4 linked regions of the Elephas maximus indicus genome follow. The protein of the gene in region 2 interacts with the protein of the main gene of each other region in a pairwise test. Links are inferred from orthologs where the notes say so. Each region holds a gene or a part of one and is shown on either strand. Other genes may lie near its edges.

Region 1 (7,961 bases), on a different chromosome or scaffold from region 2:
GACCTTACGCACTGGCCTGGTTAACCCACTGGCCATAGGTTTCCGCCTCATCTGGATCTTCAAGATTCTCATGTTCAAAAGAGGCCTCTTCCTCTTCTTCTTCCCGTATTACCTTCATCAACTCAAGGAAGCTGGGAGGCGGTCCTTGATCCTTCAGCTCCCTAAGCCTGCACCAAAGGATTTCACTAAGGCTCGCCCCAGCCATGATTTGTTCCAAACGGACCTGATCTGCAATATTTCTAGGAATGGCACGCTTCTCAACAGCTTTCCGAAGCAAGGTTTCTAACCGTAACACATAGGCAGAGACTTTCTCGCCCTCCTCCTGATAGGTCTTCAGATACCTAACCTGTGAGGTCCTGCGGCTCTCCAGGCTTCCAAACACTTGTTTAAACGCCTCCAAACACTCTTCCACGCTTATGGACTGGTTGTCTGCCTGCACTATATGCATGAGGTCCAGAGCAGGGCCACGCAGGCTTTCCATCAACCACCTTTTCTTTTCTGCCTCTGCTACTGGCCACTCTTTGACTATCTCAGTGGCCTGTTCCAACCAGATTTCAAAGGGCTCTTCCTCTGGGGCTGGAACAGCACTGCCTGAGAATATTCTCAGTTTTCGGTATCTCATGGGTAGCAGAGGCTGAGGTGCATGCGCTATTGCCTGTCCCACCAAATTGGCCAGTAACTCTGGTGATATGGAGGGGACAGCAGCTGTGGACACTCCCTCATGCCCAAGGGCTCGGAACATACCCGCTAATGTCTGTTCCTCTTTTTCTAAGAAGAGGTTCAGTCTTTCAAGAAATTCAGTGTCCTGATTAGGGGTCTTAAAGACCACTTTCCAGACACCGCCCCTTCCCTGCACCTCACTGGGGATCACGGAGATATCAATATCCTCCATAAGCTCTAACAAGACAGCATTGGCATTATCCTGCTTCCTGAATATTTTGCCAAGCAGTCTATACCTGCCCAGGGACTTCAAATTCTCCTGAAGAACCTCCTGAATCTCAGGCTCATCACACTCCACTGGTATCCCCATAACCAACAGTGATTTCTGAGTATCCACACTCATTATCCCACACCAGTCCTCTAGCAGTGCCAGTGCCATTGCTCCAAGTATCCACTTGCCCTAACTCGTAGGGGCACCAGTTAGTTTGTGGGGCAGATATGCACTGCCTTAGATTAAAAAAAAAAATCCTGGATGACCTAGGGGGTGGATCCTAGGTCAGGTCACTCTAAGAGTGGTCTCAAAATCTCCTGGACTGTTAACCCTTACTTGCCCAGCGGCAACAACTCAGCACTTCCTGTAATGTCTCTAGAACTGATCCAGGACGGGTAGGTTGTGTCTCACCTATAACAGAGCCACTACCTGTGGCTCTGCAGTCCTCTTGGTGCTGTTTCTCTCAGCGATGCTGGCAGCCACGTGGTGGTCCTGACCTTTCTTCAATCACCGAGGCACCTGGAACAGCTGCTTTGACCACTGTCTCCTGGTCTCTGATACTTTCTCTAGTCAGCGGTGAAATACTTTCCACTCTGGCACCCTGAACTCTTGAAGAGAAGTCTCACAGTAGCGTGACTTGGACTCCTAGTGAAACAATTTTCAGTTTTACCACTGAAGCATACCAGGAAGCATACATATTCTAGTTTGGGAAGGAAGTGGGGGTAGACCAGGGGTTTTGTCTTACATTGTACCTGTGTCTAGCCCACTCTGTCAAGAATTCTTCTTTGATTATAGTGACTTTTTTATTTTCTCTTGGGGACCCTCTGAAATACAGCTTCCCCAGCATATGCTCATCAGACATGTCAATCAATGTCTAAACCCCACTTTTGGACAAGATCCAAGATTTTTCCCACATAAGGGATGAAATCAAAAGATGTGGCTAAATACCTGTTTATATGTTCCAGAATGTTCCTTGAGAGTGAACAGCTTATTCAGCTTCTAGTATAGGATGATGTCACCCAACTCCACACGATGGTGTCTCTGAGTCTTAGCTCCAGCCAAGTCAAGATGTCCTGCTACACATAAAAATCATGTGGTTTTATAGCTCAATAATATGCAGTCATAAAGACTGTTTCTACACTTATTAAAAATATGACAATCTTTCACGATTTAGCTAGCTCTACTAAACAGCTATTGAACTGCTTCCTTTCTTTGATTAAAAAATACCCAGTTAGGAATCGGTCAAACATTTAAAAATAATTTAATATATAGATAGCATTTAGAAAAAGAAAATCTTAGGGCCAAATACACTAAACTTGGAATCATGGACTAATTCTTTTTTGCTACGTCTGGTTAGTCTTTGGCATTTCTTTTGTTATGAATGGTTACTATCACAACACTTTTTTCTCCTAGCATTTGAATTTAAATGGGTCATTCAAGGCAAAAAGAAGCCTATCTACTGAGCTTGTCCTGGAAAGCCTGTGGAGACTGGGAATAGAAAGTCGGAAGAGTGATGCCTCCCAGTCAGCGTTGCTGGAGTACACGTTAGGGTGCTACAATCATTCTCCCCTTGGCATGAAAATCTCCATCAATCTGAGGAAGGTCCATATGCTATGATACCAACCTGTAGCTAGAACAGCAGCTGCTCCTGTTGCAGGTACATCTCCTGAGTCCTTCTAGGAGGTGCTGAAGGCACCATAAGTGCCAAAAGGCCAGGAAAACAAAATGCTATTTTACTCCTATCCCCAGGAGCCCCAAGGACGTGAGCTCCTACCTGCAATGTGACTTTCAAATAAAAAAAGCAAGTGAAACACCCTTGGTATCCAATAGGGCCATGGATGGAAGTACTTAGATATGGAAAAAAAAAAAAGTGAAAACCTTATATTTTCTCACATCAACAGAACCAATAGGATAAACTGGAAAAGGAACAGATTTTCAGATGGAAGACCCCCAGTGGAACTGTTGCATCAGTTAACTAGATAGGTCACCCTGGCCAAGGTCCCTCAATCCTTTTAAATCACAGTTTCCTAACCTGGAAAATAGTGACAATAAACCTGTCCCATTTATCTAACAGGGCTGCCGTGAGTAGGTAATAACGTAATTCACGTGAAAGCATTTAGTTCAAAAGAAGTCTATCTGATGCTAAATCCGGAATACCTGCCTATGGGGGTCTCTCGCCTGCTCCATATGTGTATTCTTCTTCTTCATTCTCCCCTCCTCATTTTGAGGTTCATTCCCACCTATGATGGGCTCATCTTCACACTGTGACTAGTCGTCCTCCAAATTTAACCCCATTCACCAAACCATCACTGACAATAGGGGTGGGGGATCCACATTTAATCCTTCCAGGGACAAGGGTTGACAACGGTACTGAATCCTTGGCCCGTAATGCCTGGCGTGGTGACGCTGCGGGAAATCGCCTCTTAGCCCAAACCCGCCCTGGTCACAGAGCAAGGCCAGATCTCCCTTCTGAGCCTCGGATGGGTGGGCATCATTTTCGCAAAATTTTGCCACTGTAGGAAAAGAGGGGGGCTGCACTCGATCAGAAGCAGAGATTGATATACGGTAAGAAGAGGACAAGAAGAGTAAGCATCGACGGCGTTACTGACACAAATCAAAATGACACCTGAATGCCTACCGACCCGGTGGTCACGGCTGAAACACCCCCATAGAAACACCACACCTCCACACAGTTGCCCCTCTTGTCCCCAAACGCAATTCTCTGCATTCTATCACAGTGCGCACCCTGCCTCCTAGTCCCCAGCGGATGCGCACACACTAACACCACAAGCACGTGGCGTCTGGCCCTGCTCTGGCGCAGTGCGCAACAGGGGCGGGGGAGACTAGGCGGGGTGCTCGGGCGTGAGGAAGGCCTGGAGATTTAGGGAGTGGGCTTTATTCTACGTATTTTCCCCTTTGGAGAGGGGCGGTGGAAGATATCAAATCAAGACACTCTCCTTGGCCCTTCTTGGCGCAGGGGCGCAGAAATATTACATGGGGCCCTCAGGCAATGTAGCGGGTCTACACCCTCTCTGTCTTTACAAGTGGCTGCACTGGAATCCGCAGACTGCACTCCTTGCTAAAACTCCCATAAACCACAGGCTTAAGTCTCTCTTTATACCTCCTCATTTGCTACGCCCCTCTGCATTTCTTCTGAACACGTTGTGCACCCCCCACCCCTGGGGATACACCAAGCAAGAATGTTCTCGCTTCATCCTTGCTCCACGCAGCCCACCAAGGCCCGTGGGTGACTGGGGCTTTGGTTTTCCGCGCCTCGGATGGCACCCTATTCTCCGCACCGCCTGCCATTCCCCATTCCCACTGACGCCCCCCAGTTGTCCTGACTTCTGCCAGATTGTCTCCTTTTCCCCATCCATCAGCAAATACCCCGGGAAAGGGGAGGGATCCCAACCCGCGGAGCCCCCAGCCCGCGGTTCCATCTCCGCAATGCGGTGAGAGGGAGAGGCGCCTGGGCCAGGCAGGTGGGGGAGAGGAGGGCAGGGGACCAGGGGCTGCGTTTTCGGGTCGTCGCCTACGCATACCCAGCCCCTCTACTTACCCTAGCGCCGGAGAGCGGTCATCAGGCCCCGCACTCGGCAACCGTTAGCCGGTGGTCTGGCCGCTTCACTTCCGGAGCGTGGGGCTCGAGATGGCGTGGCCCGCCCCTCCCCTCCCCTCCCCTCCTCGGCGCCCCGCCCCGCGCCCCCCCTCCTAGCGCAGCTGCAGGGAACAGGCTGCCTCTCGGCTCCCGCAGCCGCAGCGGCCGCCCTCCCCGGCCTAACTTCGCCGCTCGCCGGAGCTTGCGCGGAGGCTGGGGGCGTGGGCAGGGAGGGGGAGAAAGCAGGGCCAGGGGGAGGGGCTGGGAGGGGTAGACAGCCCGCTCCAAAGCCCTCCTTCCTTTCTGTACACCTTGCCTTAGGCAGAAAGAGACATCCGTGGCAGCAGCGGGGGATTTTTGCACAGATAGTGGGAGACTTAGGGACTGGCAGACAGACAGACAGACGGAGGAAGAGGACCCTTCCCCAAGCCATCGCGCCATGGCTGAGAGGAAGCAATCCGGGAAGCAGGCAGAGGACGAAGAGGTCCCTGCCTTTTTTAAAAAGCTGGGCTCAGGCAGCCCCAAGCCCCGACAGAAATTCTGTGGCATGTTCTGCCCGGTGGAAGGGTCCTCGGAGAACAAAACCATCGATTTCGACTCGCTGTCGGTGGGCCGGGGCTCGGGGCAGGTTGTGGCTCAGCAGCGGGACGTCGCCCACTTGGGCCCCGACCCGCAGCCGCCGTACTCCCGGCAGGGCCGGCGTGCCGGCGGGGAGCCATCTGTTGAATCGAGCCGGAAGGTGGAGATCCGTCGGGCCTCGGGCAAGGAAGCCCTGCAGAACATCAACGACCAGGTTGGTATGGGAGGGCGGAGGAGATGAAGGACGGGGCGTGTGGGAGTTGCCTCTCCCTCCCGGCTCCGTGGAGACCCGAGAATCCAAGGGTACCCTCTTTCCTGCTCCTTCTTTAATGTTGCCTCTCTGCATATGCACACATACCCCACCCAACCTGCCCCTTCTCCGCCCAGGGTGCGGAGAGGCTCGTCGGTGGGCGGCTGTACGCCCACAAAGGCTGCCCGCACCTCTCTGGATCTGGGAGGTGGGGGATGGGGGGGGGTAAAGGACTGGCTGATTCCCGGCCCGGGGTTGCGCGGAGGGGAGTGGGCCGCGGTTTCATTCTTCTTAAATCCTCCCGGGCGGCTTCCGATTGCAGCTGTGGCTGGGTGCCCCACCCTTTTTTGATGCAGCTCGGAGCGTGCGGAGGAGGGGTTCGCGTGAAGGCCCGTGAGTTCCCTCGGGTTCGGGAGGGGTCGGGGCTCCGACCACCGCTCCCTGCCCGCTCTGCGCCCTCTCTGGCTGCACCTTCTTGGGCGCCTGTCGCTCTCGGGTACCGAGATCGGAGGCCAGCACCATGGTCAGCGCCTCTTCGGCTCGCCTAGGAGAATCTCACCACCCTTAACTCCTGGTCGCAGCGTGAGAAGAGTGAGGGAGAATGTGGAGTCACCCGAGGAAACCGAGACGCTTCTCAATAGCCCATGTGGAGAACAAAGTTCCGCTAAGTGCCTCAACAAGGGCTTCCCAGAGCTCTCCCTCTGCCGCTATTTGGGAGGTGCTCTGGGAATGGGAACTAAGTGGATTATGTTCAAAGGGTAAAAAAAGGAGGAAGAAAGAAACCCTCACATTTTGAATAGCATGTCAAAGAAGATTAGCCCTTTTGTACTGTAAATGAGTCAAACGAAGTCCAATTTGGTAAACCTTGATTTTAGAAAATGTTGGCCATTATCTGACAAATATGAACAGTGCACATTTTAAGTACAGTAGCTTTTTCACACCCCAGCTTTTTCTTTAACTGGGTGACCTTCATACTCGCACATTTTTTCCTCACAGCCTCAATTTCTCAGCAGATACTCTACAGTGCAAAATGTTTCATCCCTTGTTTGCTGTTTCTCCTGCACCCGTTAGGTTTAGCTTTCTGTGAAGATGAGACGTTAATTAATGATTATTGAATACCTATTGTGTGCCTTGATTTTGGGGCAGGAAGGTTAGCAATAAAAACTTAAAGGCAGTTTCTTTTCCTCACGGGGCTTCCAGAGTGGTTGGGAGTGGCCTGTTCCTGTTCATTGTGGGGTTCAACAAGCATTTACAGTGTAAGCATTTTAGAGAACAACATAGAGTAGGTGGTAATGGCCCTAGAATGGTGCTCCTGTTTCCTGATGTGGCATTGAGTTTTGCAGCTTTTGACTTTTATAGGAACAAGTCTAACGAAGTTAAAGCATTTGCGATCATTTTCATAATTTATACACTCCCCCCAGCTCTGTTCTCTGATGTTTTCATATAGGAAAGTATCTCATACACATATTTTATCATGAGTCAACCAGAAGAACCCAAATCCAGAAAATTCTCTTTGTTGCAAGTGACAAGACAATTGAAGCAAAAGTTTCTAATTGTGTAACCTAGACTAAAAGCTGAAAGTGAAATACTTTCCTAGATGAATGCATTGGGTGAGAGCCAAGCTTATATAGCGTTATCGTTATGTGAGTAACCTCATGTACAGCAAGTTGTCCTGGCAATTCTAATATCCTAGAGGGAGCAGAAGTATATTATGGAGAATAAGGAAGAGATCATTTATAAAATGGCTTTTGGGGGGTGTTAAGAGTGGCTACCCCATCATAAAAAAAACAGCAAATTAAAACTCAAGTCTGAAAGGCAAAGTTGCAATGAGTTAAATAACACATCTCTTTCTCCTGTCCATTTAGAAGCTTAGATGTTTGATCACAAGAGCTACTTGTTTGAATACTGGCTGAATTTAATAGAAATTCTAAATTGTATACCTATGGTACATGGAGGGAGAGATTTGAAGTGATAACATCCAACCAAAACCAGGGCATTTTTAGCCTCAGCAAACCTCAAATCAAATCCCGCTCCAGTTGCCTGAATATTTGTAGTAGGGAGATTCTGTCTTGGCCTACCTGTAGCCCTCCCAGAGTTTTCATCTTCAGTCTAGACTTATAGCATAAAGACTGCTCCTGTGGGATTATTTTCATTCAGATCAGGAGCATTTACCTGGATTGGTGCTTACAGTGTTCAATATTTCGTGTCTGTACAAGAGGAAAAAGGCATTTGGTGTGCATGTATGTACATGGATATAACTGGTGATTTCAAGGAGCCCTGGTGGCACAATGGTTAAGCATTCAGCTGTTAACTGAAAGGTCGGCAGTTGGAACCCACTAGCTGCTCCATGGGAGAAAAGACCTGGCAATCTGCTCCTGTAAAGGTTTCAGCTTAGCAAACCCTATGGGGCAGTTCTACTCTGTCCTATAGGGTTACTAGGGGTTGGAACCGATTTGACAGCACACAATAATATAGTGATTTCTGAAAGCACAGCTGGGTCCACCATTTTGACCAAATTGACTAGTCATCACTTAGTTTTCAACTAATGAGTAGGGTGACTCCCAGCATTTTAGTGCATTTCTGTAGGAAGGCCTGGCACAGAG
Region 2 (7,848 bases):
GCTAAATGAAAACAGTGGCTGAACTCTCCACAATTCCCTTCTAGCTCTAAATCTATGAAACCATCCCCCCACCCTCCCAGACTTAAGGCTTACCTTTGTGAGCTCTAGAAATCGGAACTAAATAAACCGGATTTGAATTTTCTATTTTCTAACCAAAGAAGATTCTGCTTTCATCTCACTTTTAAAAACCATCCAAATCTTGCATAATTTAAATGATCAGTGCTGTCATCGGTTGCTCTGGTGTAAATTATGCATTGTTACTATTTGGGGAAAATTTAGACTGGGTCCAGTCTAGGATCACTGGCTGAGAACAATAAGCCCCCAAAATGAGAAGGGACTAAAGGCCTCTCCAGACAGGATCTGGTTTTAATGCACTGAGCCCAGGGCTTATAAAAAGGGCCTTGACTGTGTACATTGAAGAGTCACTGAAACAGCATGGGACCCAAAGACTGCAGCTAATTCTCCTAGAAGCCACTGACCTTGGCTGCATTTCAGGGGTCAGGCATTCCTCAGGAGGTTCTCAGCACCAAAGCTCTTCTGAGGGTTTGGGAACGAATGAGACTTCTCAACTAGATGAGCCCACCTCTCCTAATTTGGGAAGGCAGATATGATCTGCTCTCTGATTTGTGGAGATTACCTATGTGGCCTTTGAACCCACTCTCGGCTGGCACACCCCACCTACCACAAAACAGTCCCTGACCCCAGCCCTCCAGAATGCAACTGTTTCCACACCTACATGCAAGTCCTCCAGCCAGCAGTGCTCCAGTCTCTAGGGCCAGCTGTTGCCCTCCCTGCCCACACCTCGGGGCAGGCAGAAAAACAGGCAGACCACTAAGCCGGCAGCCCAGGCCACAAAGAGCAATTGCAGTGAGCCGTAGAACGGTATCTTTTCGAAATACAGATCTCACAAGCCCTGGTATCCTAATGTGAAGTGTCTCCAGGCCAGCCCAGCGAGCCCTCGTGGTTCTCACAAGCCTGCAGGCTCTCTGCTCTCTATCTCAGAAAACCTTCCCCAGAAAAAGCCCACTGGTGACAGGTCAAAGCCTAACTTAAAAATCACAACACAGTATTTCATTAGAGGAGTGATGTAGATGTCTCGATTCTGGCTTAGGGAAATCACCACAAGCCTTGCCCATTGTCTGAACCCCTCTCCTTTTACAATTTCCCCCACCTTGAGGTCTGGCCCATACATCTACCTGCTTAACCCACCGGCAGCTACTCCTAGTACAGCAAGTAGGACAAAAGAACACACACAGTCCATCAAACAGGAGGACAAGGACTTGGTCAAAGCACCCACCCTATTACTAACTACCCCCACCCCCAGCTGCCCGGAGGCAGCGGGTTCTGAACATGGCATTTCAGCCCCAGGGAAATCACTTACTGTAATAACGCACGAATGAGCTTTTGCTACCCAACTATCAGTACAGGCAGTTTCAAACGGCCCCCCTGTTCCTTCACAACCCCCGGACTGCCTTCCTGAAACCTCATCTCTTGAACTAAAGTGGAGGGGGGGAGGGGGGAGCCGAGTTGGAACAAAAAGGAGGGAAAAAGGAGGGAGGCTAAGGAAAAAGTACAGCTTTGATAACAGTAGTCGCTCTTAAAATACCCTGGAGAAAAGAGGCAATGTCAGAAGTACTAAAAAGACTCAGGTAAATGGTCCCAAGATTTAGCTTCGATCTAACAATGTGTTCCTCAGTAGGGCGTGTGAACTTCAATCTTGCGTGTCTCGGTGTTGAGAGCCACCATCAATTTAGCCTCACCCATCCACCATGTATCAAATATATCTAGTCACTGTTATTTTTCAAGGGGGAAGGGTTCAAGAGAAGAAGTCGTCCTTAAATTGGTGCCCAATCTTTTCCCCCAGACCCCGCTGCTGCCGCCACCCCCATCCCTCACCCTCTTCCCTGCAGGCAGCATCTAATTAAAATGGCAAGAAAGCTCTGCCCCCTTCCCTTGAGTGTGTCAGGATTGGGGGTTGGGGGTAGAGAGGCGTCGAGGCTGCACTGGGATTCCTGATATTCTGCTCACAAAACAACAGTAAAATGGATTCTATACCAGTGATGTCTTAGTCAATACAATGAAACTGCGTCGGAGGCAACTCACGTGAAGGTAAATTCAAACCAGTGGGGCTGGGGGGAGGGAGGTGCTCTACAAAGAACTGGCCACAGACAGAAGGAAAACACACACACACTCCGGGAGTTCCGGTGTGACTGGAAAAAAGCGGAAAACACATCCCTTTCACCTGCTTAAGTTTAGCCATAAAGCTGAAATGTCACAGCCCCAAAGTCAGAAACCACAGGCTGGGCTGAGTTAAAACCACAAATAAAGGTGAGTGGCAGACGGGCGTTTAAGGGTGCGCCCAGAGAGGGCCGGGGCGCGGGAGGCAGGAAAGGGGAGGCTGAGGGCCGTTGCCATCCACAAGGCAAGCACAGCAGTAACTGCCCCCGTGGAGCGGCAGGTTCGGCTTCGTGGGTACAGTCAGGCTCACAATGTCATCTTGCAGGTAACTGGAAAACGTGAGGCCAGTGCCTTTATTCACGCTGCTTTTTTTTTTTTTTGCAGAAAGGGGCAGCCGGGTGTCGCGCCTTGGCACGAGGCGACCGCCCGGGGTGTCCACACACACACCGACGAGTCTTTCATTTTAAGGCTCTTACACCCGTCTACGATAAACTGGCGTAAGCTCCACGCGCTCTCGGGGGAGCCTCGGTCACAGCCAGAGGGGGACACGTACCGCACAGACCCTGCCCTGGGGGCTCAGCAAGAGCACCTGAGCAAACCCCGAAGAGAAACGAGAATCCACGTTCCCTCCCGTCGCATTCTCTCGCCTCTGCCCACAGCGCGAGCCCCGGTCCACGCGCCGAGCCCGTTCACCCTGACCTAACCCACCGGGAAGAAATCAGAAAAGGTGTTCTGCTCACCCTCAGAGCCGAGAGATCGATTTCATCCAGGCTGCGAGCCGGAGAGTCGCTCGCCATGTCTACTTGTTCGCCGGGAAATGGACCAAAACCCCTCCGAAGCTTCTGCCCTGGAGATTCCACCTTGGTCTATCTCACTCGCGTCTTCATGCGGGTGCAGCGCCAGAGGCCCGGGCCCAGCCTCCTCCGCCCACCCCGGCCCCACAGCGCCGAATCCCGACCCTCGGCGCGGCCGTCCGCCGGGTCCGGGAGCTCGACCTGCGCGGATCTCCAATCCCCAGCCGCGGTGCGTGTGGGCTGCGCGCCCTGATCGGCTAAGGGCGCTGGGGCTGCGTGGGTGTATTTAAATGGGACATGCTTCTTTGCTTGTGCGTGGATGGCGGCTGCATTGGCTGTTATAATGAGACACATCAACTCCTCCACTCAGCTGGGGGAGTGGGGGTGGAGAGCCACACAGAACTGTCTATCACCGCTTCCTGGGAGGAGTAAAGGGGGAGAGAGAAAAAAAAAGAGGTGGAGGAGGCGTGGTCTCCGGCGGAGGAGAGGCCGCGCTTCCTGACCGGGTCCCTCTGCACCAGCGTGCATGGGGGAGGGGCGCGCACCCTTTCCGCCCCGGCTATTGCGGGCCAAACCGGCTGGACCCGAGTGCCGTTCCGGGACGCGGACATGCCTATCGTACAAACAAGGAGGCTTTATTTGTGTGTGTCCAATGCGTGCGCTGCAGCAAATGGCCCGTTCAATCGCATCGTGGGGTTTCTTGGAGGGACTCAAATGATCTGACATTGAAAAAGCCAGAGAAAAAAAGAGCGACGTCCTCCCTCCCCCATTAGTTATTTGTGGGGCTGGAGTAACGCGGACTGGTGCAACCGGTGCATATAAGGACTTGTGTGCTTGGAAGGGGATCCGCCCCCAGCCGCCGAGCGAGTGGGGGAGAAGCGCGCACGCCTAGCTTGCCCAGCGCCTGGCTTCGGCAGTTCACAGGGGCCGTGGGGTCGGGTCTGCCTGCGGCCACTGGGACCGCAGATGGCCGTTCCCGGGTGCGGGTCACTGGCCGCTTCGGGTTGCAAAGGTTTGCCAGAAGCGGGAAAACTGGAAGATCGGAGCTCCCTTTTGGCATCGCCACACCCAGGACCGGCCCCTGCCGCAATTCCCCACGGAAACGACCGAATTGAAACGAGCTTTTTCTCTGGGTGCAACATCTTGAATGCTTCAGGTAACTGTCCAAAGCCAACTCTGGTTTAGGCAGCACACGCTGCCTCAGGATTTCACATTGCCGTTTCAGGCAGCGTTTCTGCGGCTGACCTACCGGGATTGATGGAGAAAGTTGGCTAGCGGATAAAATGTGCCATACAAGATGGAAGCGTGGGAGCGATTTCACTTCACCCGCTTTCTCCTTTAGAGGCTCAATATTTACAGTAGTAAACATGACATTCTGTAATCAAGAGTGTGAAGTCACTTCCCCAGGTCCCCATTGCAATCCTTCCTCTCCGGCCTTGGCCATACAAAATTAGACGTATCCGAAGAAAACGCTAAAACTGAACTTTTTTTCAAATACAGCAGTAGCTTTGAAAGTATTCTCAGGACCTCTGCTAGGAGAATAATTTACTTCTGGCCAAGGACTCTGAGGGTTTGTTTTGTTTTCTTGTTTTTGTTTTTTATATGTAGTGTGAATATCAGCTTCAGAATAAGGCTTTCCAATGAATGGATGGAAGCCAGTGCAGTTAGTACATCACAACTGCAGACAGAGGGCTTTTAAACCGCATTCGGTGTGCACCGTACGGTTTTTGTTGGTATTACTGTATTCATATGAGTTATAAATCATGCACCATGGAACTTGAAAATTTCTCCAACATCTCTATGGCCACAACTGCTTGGGAGTTTTTGCCTGTAAACGTTACACGTATATCAAATGTTTAAACGCATTATATTCAAACACTTGATTTTTACCTCTCATTTTATAATGAAATCATCCAGCTTTTTGTAGTAGCTGGCAGTAAGCCACCAAGTAATGTTGAAATGAGCTAAAGAACTATCATTTCCCATCATTGTTCTTATTTTTCCCTTCTATTTTTTTTTTAACCTTCTTCTAGATGACAGGTTAATGTATTAGTGTTGAAAGAAAATAATTAAAGGTCAGATCTATAAATAACAATTTTTAAAGCTCCAAACAACAAAAAAAAATGGGTTAAACATTTGTTTTCATGGAGAGTCTTGATTTTATAGTCCAGATTTTATTTGAGACATCACAAACAGATCTTTTGGCTTTAGTAAGCTGTTCAGGCTGTAGGGTGCCCTGTCCCTGGCACTAAATTCTACCCTTGGATTTGTAGTTAGATTTGGAAATTTAGTGATGAGTAGTTACAGAAGAGGATTGCTTCCTGGAAGCCTGAGGGGATGGGCGCGAGAGCCAAGTGGAAGCAGTGGTGCTGGGCTACAGGAAATACCATGAAAGGGAGGATTACGATAGCAAAGACACCTCCAGCTGGTAAGAGAAGATAAAAACACACACACACCCATTGCAGTCAAGTCCATTTGGACAGGGTAGAACTCTCCATATAGGACAGAGTAGAACTGCTGCATAAGATTTCCAAGGCTGAAATCGTTAAGGAAGCAAACTGCCACATCTTTCTTCTGCCAAGCAGCTTGTGGGTTCCACCTTTCGACTTTTTGGTTCACAGCTGAGCGCTTAACCACTGTGCCACCAGGGTTCCTAAAGATAAACTCCGTAAGTTATGGTTTCTTGACTTACAGGACATTGAAACCAGTTGCTGTCGAGTTGATTCCAATTCATAGCGACCCTATAGGACAGACCTGAACTGCCCCATAGGGTTCACAAGGCTGTAATCTTTACGGAAGCAGACTGCCACATCTTCTTCCTGCAGAGCGACTAGTGGTTTTGAACTGCCCACCTTTCAGTTAGCAGCCAAGCACTTAACCATTGCGTCACTGATGAAGAAAAAAAAAAAAAAAAAACTAGTGCCATCGATGATGAAGAGGAGGGGGAAATTCCGAGCTGTTTGTACTGCTGGAGGTGAAGGAAGAATGGTGACTTAAGGCTGGAGAGGCCAGCAGCGGTCAGATCAGGTACTGCTTTGTATGCTCCCTGGAAGAGCTCGAACTTTACCCTGTAGGTCAAGTGTGTAACAAATTTCAACCATTCCAGTGCTACTTTCATAATTTTTTGCCAGGTCTGTGTGCTGCCTTACTGTTGTTATTAACATTTTTTTTTAATTGATACATTTCTTTTTTCTTACATTTAATCTAAAAGGAAGCGTAAATTGCTACTGTAAATGGAAAGCTTGCAAAAAACAAAAAAGAATACCATTAAAATAAAAATAATGGAAAATAAAGCAGTATTATTATTAAATTCTAGCTAGCTGGTTTTTTTTTTAGTCATTGCCTGCCCCAGGCTTTTAGCCTGAGGGTCTGCCTTTACTTTGTTAAGAGAGAGATTAGCAAATGCCAGAAAAGGCATTCAAGACTTGAACCAAAGTGAGATTTTCCTCCTTAGTTTAATCTTAAAGACTGAGATAGTTGATACCATTATGTATGGTTTTAAAGTCTGAAGACCAATATGTTTATGTCTATATAAATATGTAGTAAACTATAAAAAGCATGGACACAGACAGGAAGGATACAGGTCAACTAAAAGATAGTGAGAAGGGAGAAAGGAATGGAAGAAAGAGAAGACTTCAACAATGACATTTAGTTTATTTATAAAAAAAGAAAGACCAAGCAAACATGGCAAAATGTTTGGAATTGTTAAATCTGGATTATTAGTAATGGGTATTCATTATAGTGTTCTCTGTATTGTTCTGTTTATTTGAAATATTTTTATATTTTTAAAATTATAAACAAGAAAGAGGAGCTCAAAGGGGATTATGTTCTCCTTATTAGGGTAAATGTTATTCAATATTGAATCTATGTACCACATTTTGGAAATCAGAAACACTACTGTGGAGTTTCCAAAAGCAAACCCCCTGTATCTTCTATCACCACAAATCCCTAGATATTCTTTAAAGAAGAAAAAAATCTTTAAAATTCATCAAGGTTCTAGAAGACATCCGTCTGGAGCAAGGGAGAATAAGGAAAAAAACCAAGACACAAGGGAAAGACTAGTCCAAAGGACTAATGGACCACAACCACCAGGGCCTCCACCAGACTGAGTCCACCACAACTAGATGGTGCCCGGCTACCACCGCCAACTACTCTGAGAGGGATCACAATAGAGGGTCCCAGAGAGAGCTGGAGAAAAATGCAGAACAAAATTCTAACTCAGAAAAAGACCAGACTTAACGGTCTGATAGAGACTGGAGAAACTCCAAGAGTATGGCCCCTGGACACCCTTTTAACTCAGTACTGAAATCACTCCTGGTATTCACCCTTCAGCCAAAGACAGGCCCATAAAGCAAAGCGAGACTAAAAAGGCATACCAATCCAGGGGCAAGGACGAGAAGGCAGGTGGGTACAGGAAAGCTGATAATGGGAACCCAAGGTAGAGAAGGGGAGAGTGTTGGCACATCGTAGGGTTGGCAAGCAATATCACAAAACAATGTGTGTATTAATTGTTTAATGAGAAACTAATTTGCTCTGTAAACCTTCATTTAAAACACAATTTTTTAAAAGGTGACCAAAAAAAAAGTTCTAGAAGACAAGCAGCATCAGTGGTCCAGTATTTCAGAGAACTTCTTAGATTATACAGATTATATAAAGCAGGCAGAGTTGGATTGCCTGTGGAGCCACAAACCTAAACTGTGTGGGGTTGGACTACGGTGACAGTTGGGGCAGATTCAAGCTCAGAGGCAATGAATATAAGGAAAAAGGCGCATTCATCACGGTAACTAAGAACTGCATTAGTTCATTATCTTATTCATTCAAAAAAATATATGGATCACTTTGTGCAAGGTGCAGTTTCTAAGTCCTGGAGATGATG
Region 3 (7,278 bases), on a different chromosome or scaffold from region 2:
CTGTGTGTGCATCGTATGTTACACTAGCTGCAGTAGACCTAAACTGTTGAGAGAGGGGAAAGTGCAGAATGTAATTGGGAGGGTAGGAGGAGGAGAAGATGGAGTATGCAGCACTCACTGCCAGTGAGCATCATGGAAATTGGTAAGACGTAGTTAGTCTCTGAAGGTAATCTGACTTCCGTGAGGCCAAGACAGCTTTTCTTTGAGTATTTCAGCAACAGACTCCAACTAAGCTTTTAGATAAATTCAAAGAAAGGGTTTTGTTATTGTTTGAACTGTGTCCCTCCAAAATACGTGTCGTAAATCCTAAAGTCTACGCCAGTGGTCATAATCCCATTTGGGAATGGGTTGTCTTTGTTATGTTAATGATTAGTGTAGGGTGTGTTTTAAATCACTCTCTTTTGATATGTAAAAGAGATTAAACAAGCCAGCGAAAGAAGTAGAGAAGAGAGATGCCAAGCCACATGAAGATACACCCAGGAGGAGAAGCTCAAAGAGACAAGAACCTTCCTCCAGAGACAACAAAGAGAGAAAGCCTTCCCCTAGAGTCAACACCCTGAATTCTGACTTCTGGCGTCCTAAACTGTGAGAGGATAAATTTCTCTTTGTCAAAGCCATCCACTTGTGTTATTTCTGTTATAGCAGCACTAGACAACTAAGACAGGTTTTAATTAAACATCTCACTTCCTGCATATGCCTTGGCTCTTTCTTCCATGACTGATAAGCAAGACAGATGTTTGCCTGTATCAGAGAATTGGGGGGGGGGCCTGGGGGAGAATTGGTGGGAATCTAGGAAAGCAGTATTTCAATAGCAAATGTGGAAAAAGAGGAAACAGAAAAGATGAGCCACTGCAGGACTTTGTCTTAGTCATCTTTATAACCCCCATGGCACCTTAGCACAATGCACCACACGCAGGGGGGCAGTCAATAAATAATGAATTTGCTTCAATTTAATTCACTCACATTTGTACTGTGCAACGGGTTTGCAGTTACGAAGCACTTTCCACATATTTAGGAAAGAAAAACAAAGTGAACGAGGAGGGGCAAGTATGGGAATAGAAGAAAAGCAAAATAGATAATGGAAAATCCAAAAGAATAAGCAAGAAGGCTGAAAAAATTGGGGGAAAAGGCAGAAAAAAATAGTTTCTCCGTTTCACTTACAATTCCTTCCAATCATCACTTTTCATTCTAAAGTACCTGGGGGTTTAGAAAGTCTGATCGCTCAGCCAGCCCTAAGAAGGGCATCCCTCATCTTCCCAAGGGGCATTTTCATAAATACCAAGCCTTCCTTCCCTGACTAACCTACCTAGAGTTGGTGCCCAAGACCCACCACCAGCAGAGCTCTAACATCTCCCAAGTGTGGCCAGGGAACCTTTAGTCCATCCTATCCATCCCCTCTGGATATTCCCAAAAACCTTAGGAGAGAGTTGGGCCTGGGAATGAAAGGAGAAGGGAGGGGGCAGTGGTCGCGTGTGGCGGGGGGGCGGGAGTTCCTCTACAAGCCCCTTAACTCAGACAACAGAGGGAGATAGTGAGGCAGAAAAGCCCAAGGACTAGAGAAAAAGCTCACGTTTGCGACAAGGAGGGCGTCTCTAACTATGGTTATTAGAAATTGCCAGGGGATAAGTGAATAAGATGGAAGAAATGAAGGGGTACGGGGATGCGCATCCCCTTGCACCCAGAGTCGAGAGCCTAATAAAGAGTCGTGGGGTCCGAAGTCTCTTCGCCCCGAAGTCGAGGTGGCAAGGACGGGGGAATGCGCAGGAGGAGCCCAGCCATCAGCGCGGACGCCGTCCCAGGGGAGGCATGTTACCTCTCCCCAAAGCAGCGCCTTTCCCTAGCCTTCGCAGAGAGGCCAGGGAGAGAGAGGGCGATTCCCGGGTCCTGTCGGGGGCGGCAGCCTCCTGACCCCATTATTCGAGCTTAAAAGTTGCGGGGAGAGTTGGCGCTGGAGCAGGCACCTGGGAGGGGCGGCCGCGGAAGGGGCGTCAGGTTTCCCGGGAACAAAGGGGTCGGGGAAGCGGGGCTTCGGAAAGCAAGTCCCGGGGGCTCCTCTCTGAAGAGGGAGACCAGGGTCGCCACATCCTCCCGGCCCGGGAGCGCAGGGGAGAGCGGGGAAGACGTGCGGGATTTCGCCGTCCGGCTTCTTGCCTCCAACTGGGTCGCGCCGGGCGCCCTCGCGCATTCTCCCCGCCCCTCCGAGCCCCTCCAGCTGGGGAACAACTGGCTGGAGACAAAAGGGGATCAGGGGACCAGAGGCCCCGCCGCCCCGGGGCACCCGCGCCGCCTCGCAGGGGCCGCAATCGGCCGGCGGCAGCCCCGATGGCGAGGCTCGGTGCGGCGGGACCCTGCGCCCAGGGCCTCCTCCCGTCCCCGCAGCGGGTATTACCTTTCATCCAGTCCACCACTTGACTCGGAGACCATTTGCTCACCGGTTCCATGATCAGAGCCATGGGGGCGGGATCGGTTCCTTGAGGGGCGCGGGGCTCGGACAGAAAACGAACTCAGCAGCCGAGCCGCCCTCAGGTGGGGTCCCTTGTTGGCCGCTGCCTCGCCGGGCGGACGGGCGGCGCGGAGAAGGTGGCTTTTGTGTGTCTGGGCGCGCGGCTGTAACGCCTCTCAGTATATGTCGGGGAGCCGCGGTACGAACCGCGGCGAGGAGGGAAGCGTGCCGGGTTCGCAGCTCCGCGCCGGGGCGGCTCGGTGCCCGAGGAGGCGGCTAAGGCTGCTGCTGCCTCCGCGGCTGCGCTCGGGTCTCCGTCTCTCCAGGAGTTCAGTTCATGGCTTGCGCTGCCGAGGGTCGCGGCGCTGAGGGAAGGAGCCGCCGCCGCCGCCGCCGCCCGCCCGCAGCCAACTTGCCCGCTCGCCTCGCGCGCGGGAGTGAAGCCCCTGGCACGACACGCTGCCCGGCGGAAATGACGAGGGGCCTCCTGCCACCCAAAATATCTCTCTGCAGCCCTCGGGTGCAGGGCGCGCGCGCCACGAGCCCCCCGCCCGCTCGCAGCCACGCGGTCCCGCCCCCGGGGCTGGCGGCAGGCGCGCGAAGCGCGTGCGCGTGCGCGTGGGGACTGCACGAGCGCGCGGCGCGCGGCCCGAGCCCGGGGTCTGTCAGTCAGTCAGGTGCGGGCGGCTGGCAGTCCCGCGTTCCCGCCCCGAGGGCCGCCGGGGGCACGAAGGCGTGCAAGGAGCGCGTGCGCGGCGGCGGCGGCGGCGGCGGCGGCGGCACCGGGCCGGAGCTCCGGGTCCGTCCGTCCGTCCGTCTATCAGGTGCCGGCGGCGGGAACGTGGCTCTGGGGGCCTCCGAGGGGACGCGGCGACGGCGGCGGGACGGACCGTCCACCAGTACAATGCTGGCTGTGCTGAGGCGGCTGAGGAGGTACCGGAGGCCCCGCCGGCGAGGGGAGGGGACACGCCGAGCCCGGGGGTGACTTCGGTCCCCGGGGTTTCCTCGCTCTCGCCCTCGCCGCTGCTGAGTGGGCTCGCGAGGTGGTTCCGAGTCCCGCGCACGCCGGCCGAGACCGAGGCGTGGAATGCCGCGGACGGTCACGGGGACCTGCCAGCCAGAAATGCAGCGATGACGAGGCAGCAGGTCCTGCTGTCGGGGCTCCCTCGGCGATGAACAGGGCCCGGGAAGCCGGGCGTTGATTCTGTAACCCGCACGTTGAGGTGGTGGCGGTTGTCCCTGAGACAGGCTCTGCCCCACGTGCCTTTTTAAAGGGCTCTGTTCTTGGTTCTCCGCCAACTCCTCCAACATCGGGAGCTCCCAGTCCTGCTTTAAAAAAAAAAAAAAAAAAAAAAAAAGAGGATGCTATTTGTTGGCAGACATTCTTTTGTAAGAACTAAGGGCAACAGTGGGATTTAAAATGAGTGACAAATTGTCAACAATATGGTTCTTCAAAACTCCTTTTCTTCAGAAAGCTTACCCAGGATACTTTGTGACCGTAGTAAAATACAGTTTGCCTGATGAGGCTTCACTTTAAACTACAAATAATGGGTACTGGGTTAGAGAGTATACAGATACAAACGCTCCCACCCCTAGAGATATTTTCTTTGTATCACTCTTAAATAGCTTCGTTGAGGAAAAGAGAAACTTTTTATTTCTATAGCCATTTCCATAGTGTCAATAGGTTTTTGCAGTGCCTGCAGTAACCCATTTTCTCTAGTTGAATTTTTTGAGATGCAGAACTGCCACTTTCCTCCAGATGATGTGTCCACACACACACACACACACACACACACACACACGAGCTGAAACAGCAGTAGTTAAAATATTTTAATGTTTTCATGGTAGTGATACTAAACAAGTAAAATTTAAAATGCCCTGTTTTTGGGCTTGTTTAGTGTTGTAATAATCCAAACTAAAAACTAGATGGGAAATTTGGGGAAGAAATTTGGAATTCTATCTAAACAAGTCTGTACTCAAGAGGATACAAGTATAGCACCTTCTTTTCATAATCCAGATCGTGGTTTTGATTTACAATTTTTTCTTGGCTACCCAGGTGTGAAAGATATTGTATTGTGGAGTGCTTACAGTCCAACTGAGTCTAAGAACAGTGCATCAATATTTCTAGAAAAGACCATTTCCAGCATCTGTAATTTATGGAATAACTTTATATTAAAAATGTAATGTGGATACATTCTGAGTCGTAAGGGGTTACGGTCATAGAAAGATGTTAAAAGTAATTTTATCAAAATAATGCTACTAATCATAACAATTAATATTTATTGATCAGTGTGCTAAGTACTTTACATACATTTCATGCTCAAAACAGCTCTATCATTAGGGACATTTTACAGATTAAAAAAACCTTGGCTGTCACATTCATTTCCTATCCCCGGAGCCTATTACACCTAGTTCAATAAATGTTGAATAATTTAATGAATAAGGCCTAAAGAGGGTAAGTAATTTGTCTGAGGTCATGATGCATGATTTTAATACCAAGTTAAGGTGATTCCAGAATAAGAGCTTTTAAAACTAATAAAAAGGCTTGTATCAGTGTCACAAGATGAACAGTATCAGTGAATGGAAGGTCCACTGAATGTTAACTAAGTATGTCTCATCAAAACATTTTTAACAACAAAGGTGCCTGAGAGTCACGATGAGTGTTTCTGACCAGTACCTACGCAGCAACTGTGAAAATGCAGGAAGTGACCAAATTTGGCTAAAAGATCAAACTGCACATCGAGACTGGGCTTGCGTGACAAGCAACCACACTATACATCATATTGAAAGCAAGTTCAAAGTGAGACTGTTTGCATGATGAATGGAATATCAATCAAAACAAATGCCAAAAGACCAGGATGAAGTAAAAATAAAAGGCATATTTCATGAAAAGACCAGTCCCAAAGAAGATGGAAAAAAGATTCCAGGGAAAGAGAATTTTGAGGAAGACCATAGGTCAGAATTAAGTTGTACATGTGCTGCAGTCCTCTTGTTTATGTCACAGTAAGAATTTATTTTGTCTAATTGCCTGAGATAACTGTAAACACTAATTCTAAGAACTAAGAATGACTGAGTTCAAAATGGGGGTGTAGAGTTATACTATCGAATAGATTTCATCAAGGCCTTAAGTATTTGTCCTAAATCCTCCTCCCTGAAGTTTCCCCTACAAAGTAACATACCTCTTGATTTTGATGCATTATTTCACTTAATTTGTTCAGAATATAACTAGCTTTTCACTTCTATTTTTCTTGATTTGGGGGGAAATAAAAATAGGATTAAATCATCATTGCCTTCACTCTTTTATTCTTAACTCCAAATGACTCAGCTAAATCTTCCCTGCATTTTCTTTCCGCAACTTTTCAAATAAACTAGCTTTTACATTCTTTTGCTATTGTTCAAAATATTAATGCCTTGCTCTATTTTTATAAGTACAGTATATGATTATGTAGAAACTTCACATTGTCTTCCTTTAATTCAGAATTCAAGGGACTGAGAATACAGTCTCAAAGTTTACGGGAAAATGTATGTTGTCATAAAATACATCAAAACATGATGCGCAAAATGGCATGATGTCACACATACTTCACTCTAGATACAAGAGCCAAACTGATTCTTTGGAAGCAGGCAGTGTAGAAATATTAAATTAATTGGGGACATAAAACTTGTGAGTTGTTTTTAGCCATATCAATATAAATCACTTTATCAGAATGGCATTATGCTGAGTGAAAGAAGCCAATCACAAAAGGACAAATATCGTATGAGACCACTATTATAAAAACCCAAGAAAAAGTTTACACACAGGAAAAAAACAATGTTTGATGGTTACAATGGAGCAGAGGGGTGGGGAGGGAAACACCACTAACTAAAAAAAAAAAAAATTTTTTTTTTTTTAGACAAATTAACTTTGGTAAAGGGAAAGATAACACACGACGTAGGGGAAGGCAACACAACTTGACCAAAGCAAAGTCATAGAAGCTTCCTAGACACATCTCAACACCTTGAGGGACCAAGTTACTGGAGCGGAGGGCTGGGGACCACGGTATTGGGGGACATCTAGGTCAATTAGCATAACATTGTTCATGAAGGAAATGTTCTACATCTTACTTTGGTGAGTGGTGTCTAGGGTCTTAAAAGCTTGCAAGCAGCTATCTAAGCTACAGTCTATTGGCCCCATCACGTTTGGAGCAAAGGAGAATGAAGAAAGTCAAAGATAAGGAAAATATTAGTCAAAGGACTAATGAACAACATAAACCACAGCTGCCGCCTGCCTGAGCCCAGTAGAACCAGCTGGTGCCTGGCTACCACCACCAACCACTTGACAGGGATCACAATAGGGCATCCCAGACAGAACAGAAGAAAGATGTAGAACGAAATTCAAATTCACAAAAAAAGACCAGATTTACTGGCCTGATGGAGACTGGAGGAATCCTGGAGACTGTGTTCCCCAGACACCCTGCTAACTCAGAACTGAATCCACTCCCAAAGTCCACCTTTCAGGAAAGATTAGATAAGCTTATAAAATAATAACACACATGAGGAACATGCTTCTTAGTTCAACCAAGTATACAAGACCAAATGGGCAACACCTGTCCAAAAGCAAAGACGAGCAGGCGGGAAGGGACAGGAAAACTGGAAGAATGGACACACGGAGGACCCAGAGTAGAAAGGGAAAGGGGGAGAGAGCTGACACATTGCAGGGATTGCAACCAATGTCACAAAACAATTTGCGAATAAATTTTGAATGAAAAACTAATTTGCACTGTAAACTTTCAGTAAAAACACAACAAAATTAAAGATGAATAAAAATAACTTTAAATGATTTCTTCATCCAATTT
Region 4 (7,163 bases), on a different chromosome or scaffold from region 2:
GAACAGGATCAGACCAATCCTCTGGAGTGGGTAAAACGGGACTGCCTCTCAAACCCTATTAAATCCAGAGGGCATGGTGCCTCCAACAAAGAATAACTTATCCTCAAAAATGATGCCCGAGTCAGAAGAAGAGAATATCATACACATTCGAGATCCTTTGCTTAGGAAAGGATGTATGTAATCTGTTGCAAAAAAAAGCATTTTTTGTTGTTGTTGTTTCGTATTGTTTTTGTTTTTTAGTTAGTGCTTGAAAGAAATCCTTAACTCTCTGAAAACAATTATCCGGAACTTTTCTTTCCTGAGGGGCTGGGAATAGCTGAGGACCTAGGACCAGAACAGAACCAAGTTTCTACCAGTAGGTGATTGACAACTTATTTTTTACTTCTTGGTAAATACACATATATTCAAGAATGTGAACATATCAAAGAGGATTTTTAACCTTTGGACACAAAGTGTTTTATTTGATACCGATGACCCTCTCACTAAAGATAAGCCAATGCAACAGTACTAAACTGAAGAAACAGGGAGTTCTACCTTGGCCTGTGACTACCTTTACTGTTATTACTACTAAGCACCTTTCTTCCCACTGCAAAAAAGCAATTCATTTTCATGAAAAAAAACTAACATTACAGGTCAGGAACAGAACACTCATGGCTCACGAGCACCGTAAGGGCATCTCCTTCCTGAATACTTTCACTAAGGATGTATGTAAACTCACATATAGACACGTTTTCCCACAAAGCTGTGATCACGTGTTACATGTGGCTTTTTACGTGCGGCTACTAACACAAACATCTTTCTGTGTTACCAAGTTTCCTGTGATTTCTAACAATGGGTGAATGGCATTGGGCAAGCTACTTCAATTCTCTGGGCCTTGTTTTCCCATGGATAAAAGAGGAAGGACGGGATTATCTACCCGATAGGTTTGTTCGAGAACTGCTGGACATTTTTAGCAAGCTTCTACCTAACATTGAAATGAAAACCTACATAGCTGTGTTTTAATACATCCTAAATTACTTTCTTTGAATAAATTTCTAGAAGTGACATCGTGGATCAGTGATATCGTGCACGTTTACAAATGTTAACTGCCTTACATTCACTAACCTGTCCATTTCCCTCTCCATCTCTGCCTCATTTTTCTTAAGCGTCCTGTAAAGTTAAAAAGTCTACAGTAAATCACATAAAATGAAAATCTTTACTATTTAAGTTTTGATCTCTATTTGCACTTTACTTGGAAGAATGAGCAGACCTTCGGTGCCACGTTGCAATGTCTTTCGCAAGCACTGTTCTAGTCCACACAAACTAAATTTTAAGAGAACAATTTTCCAACTCGTCTCAGAATAAACTCAGCGCAACAGCTGCTTCAACACAAAATAAATGTTATGTCAAAAAATTATTAAAAATGCCACCGATTAAGTCAAAACTCATGCTTTATTGTAACAGCAGGCAAAGACCAAAAACCAAGCCCACAGCTGTGAAGTCCAGTCCGACCCACAGCGACCCTACAGGACAAAGCAGAACTGCCCCCTAGGGTTTCCAAGGCTGTCATCTTCGCGGAAGCAGACTGTCACGTCTTTCTCCGCTGGTGGATTGGAACCACCGACCTTTTAGTTAGCAGCCGAGCGCTTGGGCCAATGCGCCACCAGGACTCCTAGACAAAGACCAAAACCAAACACCAAACTCGCTACTGTGGAGTCGATTCCGACTCCTAGCGACCAGAAACCCTAAAACTGAAAGAAAGGTTTGCGCAATCGGTGAAGGAGGCCTTCGAGGAACTTCGGCAGGAGCCCCGCCGACGGCGCCCCGGCCGACAGCACCCTCCGAGATCACGTGCTGACGCGTCAGAACGCGTAGGCTGACAACTTCGGGGGCTGCTTCCCGAAGCCGCCAAGCTGCCCCCTGCCCCGTAAACGGTCGCTTCCTGCAGCCTCGGGCCTGGAGCACCCGCAGACGGCAGCAAAGCGCGCAGGGCCGCAGGCCGGCGGGGAAGCTGGAGGCGGAAGGCGGAGCACCGCGCTCAGGGCGCGCCGGGCTCGACCCAGCTCCGCGCAGCGACGCCTGGTGCCCGGCTCGGCCGCTGGACGCCCGCCACCGCCGCCTCCCCACGTCCCCGCTCCTGCCGGGGGCCTGGGACCGAGGGCGCGACCCCGGTCCTCCCTGCGGGGCCGGGCTTGGGGGCGAGGGCGGCCGGGCTTGGGGGCGGGGGCGAGGGCGCCCGCGCGGTGGGTCACTTCGGGGCGGGGATGGCAGAGGGGCGCCGGCTCGGAGAGCAACCATTAGAAGGGACTCCCCTCCGCGCTCACCCACCAGCTGGGACCTCGGGTGGGTAGGGGTCGTCCAGGGAGCCGGGACCTGGCCTAGGGCATCAGGGAACCCCGACGGAGCTCAGCTGTCAGCTCGGGCCCGCCCGCCCCAGCCCCGGTCCCAGGCCCGGCCCCCTCGTTCCCGGACCGAGTGCCGCGAGGGCGGCGCCGGGCTCAGGGGTGAGGGGACCCGGGTCTCCGTGCGCGCCCTCCCGGCCCGGGGTTTGGGGAGGTCCTAGGATCAGGGTCAGGGATCAGGACGGAGCTGCCCTCCCTCTCACCCCCGAGCCAGGTCAAGGGGCGTCGGGCACCAGGGAAGGAGAGCGGCGGCCATCGTACCTGAGGCGGAGCCAGCGCCTGCTGCAGCTGCTGCTGCTCCTCGCTGATCTTCTGCTTCAGTTTCTTGAACATGGCGCAGCGCGGGGTCCCGAGCGTGAACGAGACCTGAGGGTGCGCGCCGGGGAGTCACCTCTCTACACCAGGGGCTGCGGGGGCCGGGCCTCGCCGCCTCCTCCCTGGGCTCGCAGGCAGGGCGGGACGCTCGTCCCACAGGTGTCGGCGTCGCCGCCGCCGCGTCTCTTCCTCCCGGGTGCCACCGGCCGGCCTCGGCCCCCCATCCAGCCCCGGCGGCGGCGGCGACAACGGCAGCAGGTGAACGGTGCGCCCAGGGCGCCTGCGCGGCCGACGTGGAGCTCGCGACGGGGCCCTACGGGGGGCCGTAGAGGACAAGGCTCCCGCACATGCGCGCTGACGGGACCCTGGGAGGGGGGGGCTGCACATGCGCGCTGACGGGGCCCTACGGGGGGCCGCAGGGGACAAGGCTCCCGCACATGCGCGCTGACGGGACCCTACGGCGGCCGCACATGCGCGCTGACGGGGCCCTACGGGGGGCCGCAGGGGACAAGGCGCCCGCACATGCGCGCTGGGGGGCGGCGCTGGCTGGAGGTTTCTCCGGGGACTAGCTGGGCTCCTGCTGGGATCCCTGGCCCGTCGCTTAGCTGCGCCTCGACGCTGCGAAGTCAGGCGGAGAGGGTGCCAGGCCCCCCAGCGGAGAACGGCGTCCAGGCTGGGAGAAGGGTGGAACTGCGGGGGCCTGAGGTGGCCCCTAAAGGATAATGTAGTTTTGTTCAGTACTTCTGATCCCTGTGAAGCGCCGTCGCTCCATGCCTGGTCCTGCGCCATCCTCACAGTGGTGGTCACTTTGAGCCCATTCTTGCAGCCCGCGTCAGTCCATCTCGTTGAGGGTCTCCCTCTTTTTTGCTGGCCCTCTTCCAAGCATGATGCCCTTCTCCAGGAGCTGGTCCCTCCTGATAACATGGCCAGAGTACATGAGACCAAGTCTCGCCATCCTCGCTTCTAAGGCGCATTCTGGCTGTACTTCTAGGACAGATCTGCTCGTTGTTTTGGCGATCTGTGGAATAGTCAACATTCTTCGCCAACACCGTAATTCAAAGGCATCATTCTTAGGTGTTCCTTATTCCTTGTCCAGCTTTCACAGGCCATGGCTTGGGTCAGGCGCACCTTAGTCCTCAAAGTGACATCTTTGCTTAAAACCACTGAGCTTTGGCTTAGCAGCCAAGCGCTAAACCGCTGTGCCACCAGGGCTCCTCATTTGTATTAGGATTCTATATATTTAGTGCCCAATATTCTGACTGCTCGGTGGCGGGGGAGGAAGGGGTTCTTCCCTTCCCTGGAGACTTTAGGGAAAGTGCCTTGAGATAGGCTCCCAAGGCCCAGATGTTGCACGCCAATAAAGTAAGACACGGATCTTCCTGTCACCTGCCTTTAGTTTTTCATTCACTGAAATTGTGTATTTTCATGTATTCACACAACAACCTTTGTTTCTAAATGCCAGTACCCTGGAGATGGTACACTTAGTAAAACAATATTCCTGCCCATAAAAGAAACGCATAGCCTCGTGGAAGACACGGGTTCCCAAAGAGTTCAAATTTACTCTTAACACCTGCTATCATTTTAAGACTTTCTAATGTTTGTGTGCTTAATTCATCCAACACCTTGAGCTTTTGTTCATAGGTGAACTCTCAAATCCACCTCAGCGACCTGCTTGTGCGTGCTACACCTTTGGCATCATCTGAAACTGCTTCACATTGCCTCAGGTATCAGAACCTGACAGCGTAGACTGTCTTCTCATTTTAACAGATTTTATTTACCAACATTCATATACACAAACTGTTGTTTAAGACTGCAGAGCCTAATCACTAAGCATGTCACAGCTGGAGCAGGGCTGTAAGCTAGCATCATAGGTCCTCTAACTTCAGGGAGGATAAGGAATCACCATCGGCCCCAGGCTGATTCCTTTGATTCCTGTGTGTTGGAGGTCAGACATATCTCCACCCTCCAGTCTTTTCACCAGTTCTGACACCAGCTGCCACTACCCTCCCCCCACCCTCTCTGCTTCTCTCCTGGGTTCCATAATTTGTTGCAGTGGCCGCACAGAACTCACAGATCATACTCACCATTATGTGGTGTATTAGAGAAGTAACAGGCTGCCATTCAAGAACAGGATTAACTTGGAAGTAACAGGAACAATGTAGGAGGGGACCAGGACTGTTTCCAAGACAGCTCGTGGTTCCTTGCTGGCCTGGCCTCCTCTCAGCCTCTGCCTGCTTTTGCAAGTGTTACAGTTCTTTAGCTCAGCCGACAAGTGCCCTGAGGCACCCCACCACAGCCATCTCACACTGGTCTCCAGTTTCCAGCCATCTCACTGCAGTGGCTCCTGCTGCTGCCACGCCATCTCTTGCCAGTGCAAGACGGCCATCTCCAGTGTCAAGCTCTCTATCTTTATGATAGTGAGGTTCCTCTCAGTCCCTGTGGGATTAGCCCTTTTATAAGCCTACTGCCCCTACCAAGACCACAAACTGACAAATCCCCTCTGTAGTCCATAGTCAGCTAATTTGCTTAGCAATTGACCAATCTCCACAAGGGTTTTATACATCTTATTTGCATAGTACATTGTCCAATCTCTTTGCAAGATTGTGGCCTAGCGAATAATCTTGGCAGAACTACAAACCCAGGACCAGAAAGGCCATATATAAAGAGAAGCCTATTGCACTGCAGGGGCCTGATGGGGACACTGCCCTGACGTCTGGATTAAGTCCTCCCGTACAATCAACACCCATGTAATTACCAAGAGAGTGTTTCCTTTTTTAGGAGCCTAATGTTTTAACAAGGTGCAATGCTTAAGCCCTTGACTAGTAAAAAAAAAAAAAAAAAAAAGGTCAGTGGGTGAAACCCACCAGCCACTCTGCAAGAGAAAAGACTTGGTGATCTGCTTCTAGGTTTCAGCCTAGGAAACCCGACAAGGCAGTTCTACTGTGTCATATAGGGTCACTATGAGTAGGATTGGCTCAACGGCACACAGCAACAATCTCTCAACAGACTATAAAGTCCCATAGGCTTCTTTCAGACTTCAGATGCCCAATAGGCATTCTCACCCCAGCATTCACAATTATACATCACAGGTTGACAGTTTTATATTTATACATATATTTATCATTGTTGTTAGTTGCCATCAAGTCAATTCCGACTCATGGTGACCCCATGTGTGCAGAGTAGAACTGCTCCATAGGGTTTTCAAGGCTATGACCTTTCAGAAGCAAATCACCTGGCCTGGGCCTGTCTTCTGTGGTGCCTCTGGGTGGGTTCAAACCCCTAACCTTGTGACCAGCAGTCAAGCGCTTAACCCTTGGCACCACCCAGGGATCCTTTATACAAAACACTTCTTTAGAACAAATTCAGCTCAAGGCTAGGTTGTAACCTGAGTCTTAACTCTCTGCCCTTCATATCTCATCTCCTCTTACAGGCTTTCTGTGACCACTCCCCCCCCCCCCACACACACATACACACACGAGTGGAGTCCACCATGCTCGTCTGTGTACAGCCTCGTTCTTACATGCCGTCAATGCATGTATCACCTTCTGTGTTTATCTTTTTATTAATACAAAAGTAATATATATACTTATTGTAACAAAGTCAAACAAAAGTGTAATCTTATCCCCCAAATAACTTCTATTAATAATTCAGTTTATATTTTGATTTTAGTCTTTCATTTATGAAAATAGGCACATAAATTTATATACTTGTATACAAATATATTTATGTTTTATTAAAAATGCGTTGTATATAGTCCATATCTTGCTTTTCTCAATTTACGTCAGGATTGTCCGTTCTAGTCAGTACGTGGGAACTGAGATCCCAGCAGTAGGTTCCACGGCAGACTCCGCACTGCGCACTTGTCTCCTCAAAGTCTGTCTTGACAGTTGCGAGTATGTCTCTATTGTTCCCAGTGTCCAGAAGACCTTAAAAAGCAGGGAGATAAAAAAAGAGATACTGTATACAGAACAACAACAACAAAAATGACTGCATAGAATGGCATCCTTAAAATGTTGAAACAAACAAAAAAATGCCAACAAACTTGTACTACAAGAAATGCTAAAGTTATTGAGGCTGAAAAGAAATGATACCAGAGATAATGCAGATAATACATTTCTCTAAAATCCAAATGACTATTTAAGGCAAAAATAATAACCCCACATTGTTGGGTTTGTAACAAACAAAGGTAGCACAAAGGCCAAGAAGTGGGTGTGGCAGTAAAGTGTTCTAAAGACTTCCATCGTGGGGGAAGTGGTATAATAACTAATACAAGTGAGACTGTGGTAAGTTACTATGCATATTGTAATGCCTAGAACAACCACTTAAATATGATAACACAAAATATATAGCTAGAAAGCCAATACCGAACCTAGTGCCATCGAGTAGATTCCGACTCATAGCGACCCTATAGGACAGAGCAGAACCGCCCCGTAGAGTTTCCAAGGAGCGCCTGGCAGATTCAAACTG

The links.
Region 1: the proteins of TNIK (region 2) and DPYSL2 interact in a two-hybrid assay, tested with the Homo sapiens proteins (2 studies listed by BioGRID and IntAct). The link is inferred for Elephas maximus indicus from reciprocal best matches to the Homo sapiens genes TNIK and DPYSL2.
Region 3: the proteins of TNIK (region 2) and CNKSR2 interact in a two-hybrid assay, tested with the Homo sapiens proteins (2 studies listed by BioGRID and IntAct). The link is inferred for Elephas maximus indicus from reciprocal best matches to the Homo sapiens genes TNIK and CNKSR2.
Region 4: the proteins of TNIK (region 2) and GOLGA4 interact in a two-hybrid assay, tested with the Homo sapiens proteins (2 studies listed by BioGRID and IntAct). The link is inferred for Elephas maximus indicus from reciprocal best matches to the Homo sapiens genes TNIK and GOLGA4.

Annotation. Positions count from the first base shown.
Region 1 is NC_064840.1:47,009,358-47,017,318, reverse strand, and holds the start of DPYSL2 (dihydropyrimidinase-related protein 2), read left to right. Parts: upstream 1-4,953; 5' UTR 4,954-4,968; coding exon 4,969-5,322; intron 5,323-7,961. Other genes in the region: PNMA2 (paraneoplastic antigen Ma2), read right to left, coding at 5-1,099.
Region 2 is NC_064841.1:29,025,822-29,033,669, reverse strand, and holds the start of TNIK (TRAF2 and NCK-interacting protein kinase), read right to left. Parts: upstream 3,002-7,848; 5' UTR 2,976-3,001; coding exon 2,919-2,975; intron 1-2,918. UniProt on the Homo sapiens protein: Serine/threonine kinase that acts as an essential activator of the Wnt signaling pathway. Recruited to promoters of Wnt target genes and required to activate their expression. May act by phosphorylating TCF4/TCF7L2.
Region 3 is NC_064846.1:158,100,340-158,107,617, forward strand, and holds the start of CNKSR2 (connector enhancer of kinase suppressor of ras 2), read right to left. Parts: upstream 3,020-7,278; 5' UTR 2,454-3,019; coding exon 2,390-2,453; intron 1-2,389.
Region 4 is NC_064845.1:2,971,601-2,978,763, forward strand, and holds the start of GOLGA4 (golgin subfamily A member 4), read right to left. Parts: upstream 3,017-7,163; 5' UTR 2,715-3,016; coding exon 2,643-2,714; intron 1-2,642. UniProt on the Homo sapiens protein: Involved in vesicular trafficking at the Golgi apparatus level. May play a role in delivery of transport vesicles containing GPI-linked proteins from the trans-Golgi network through its interaction with MACF1. Involved in endosome-to-Golgi trafficking.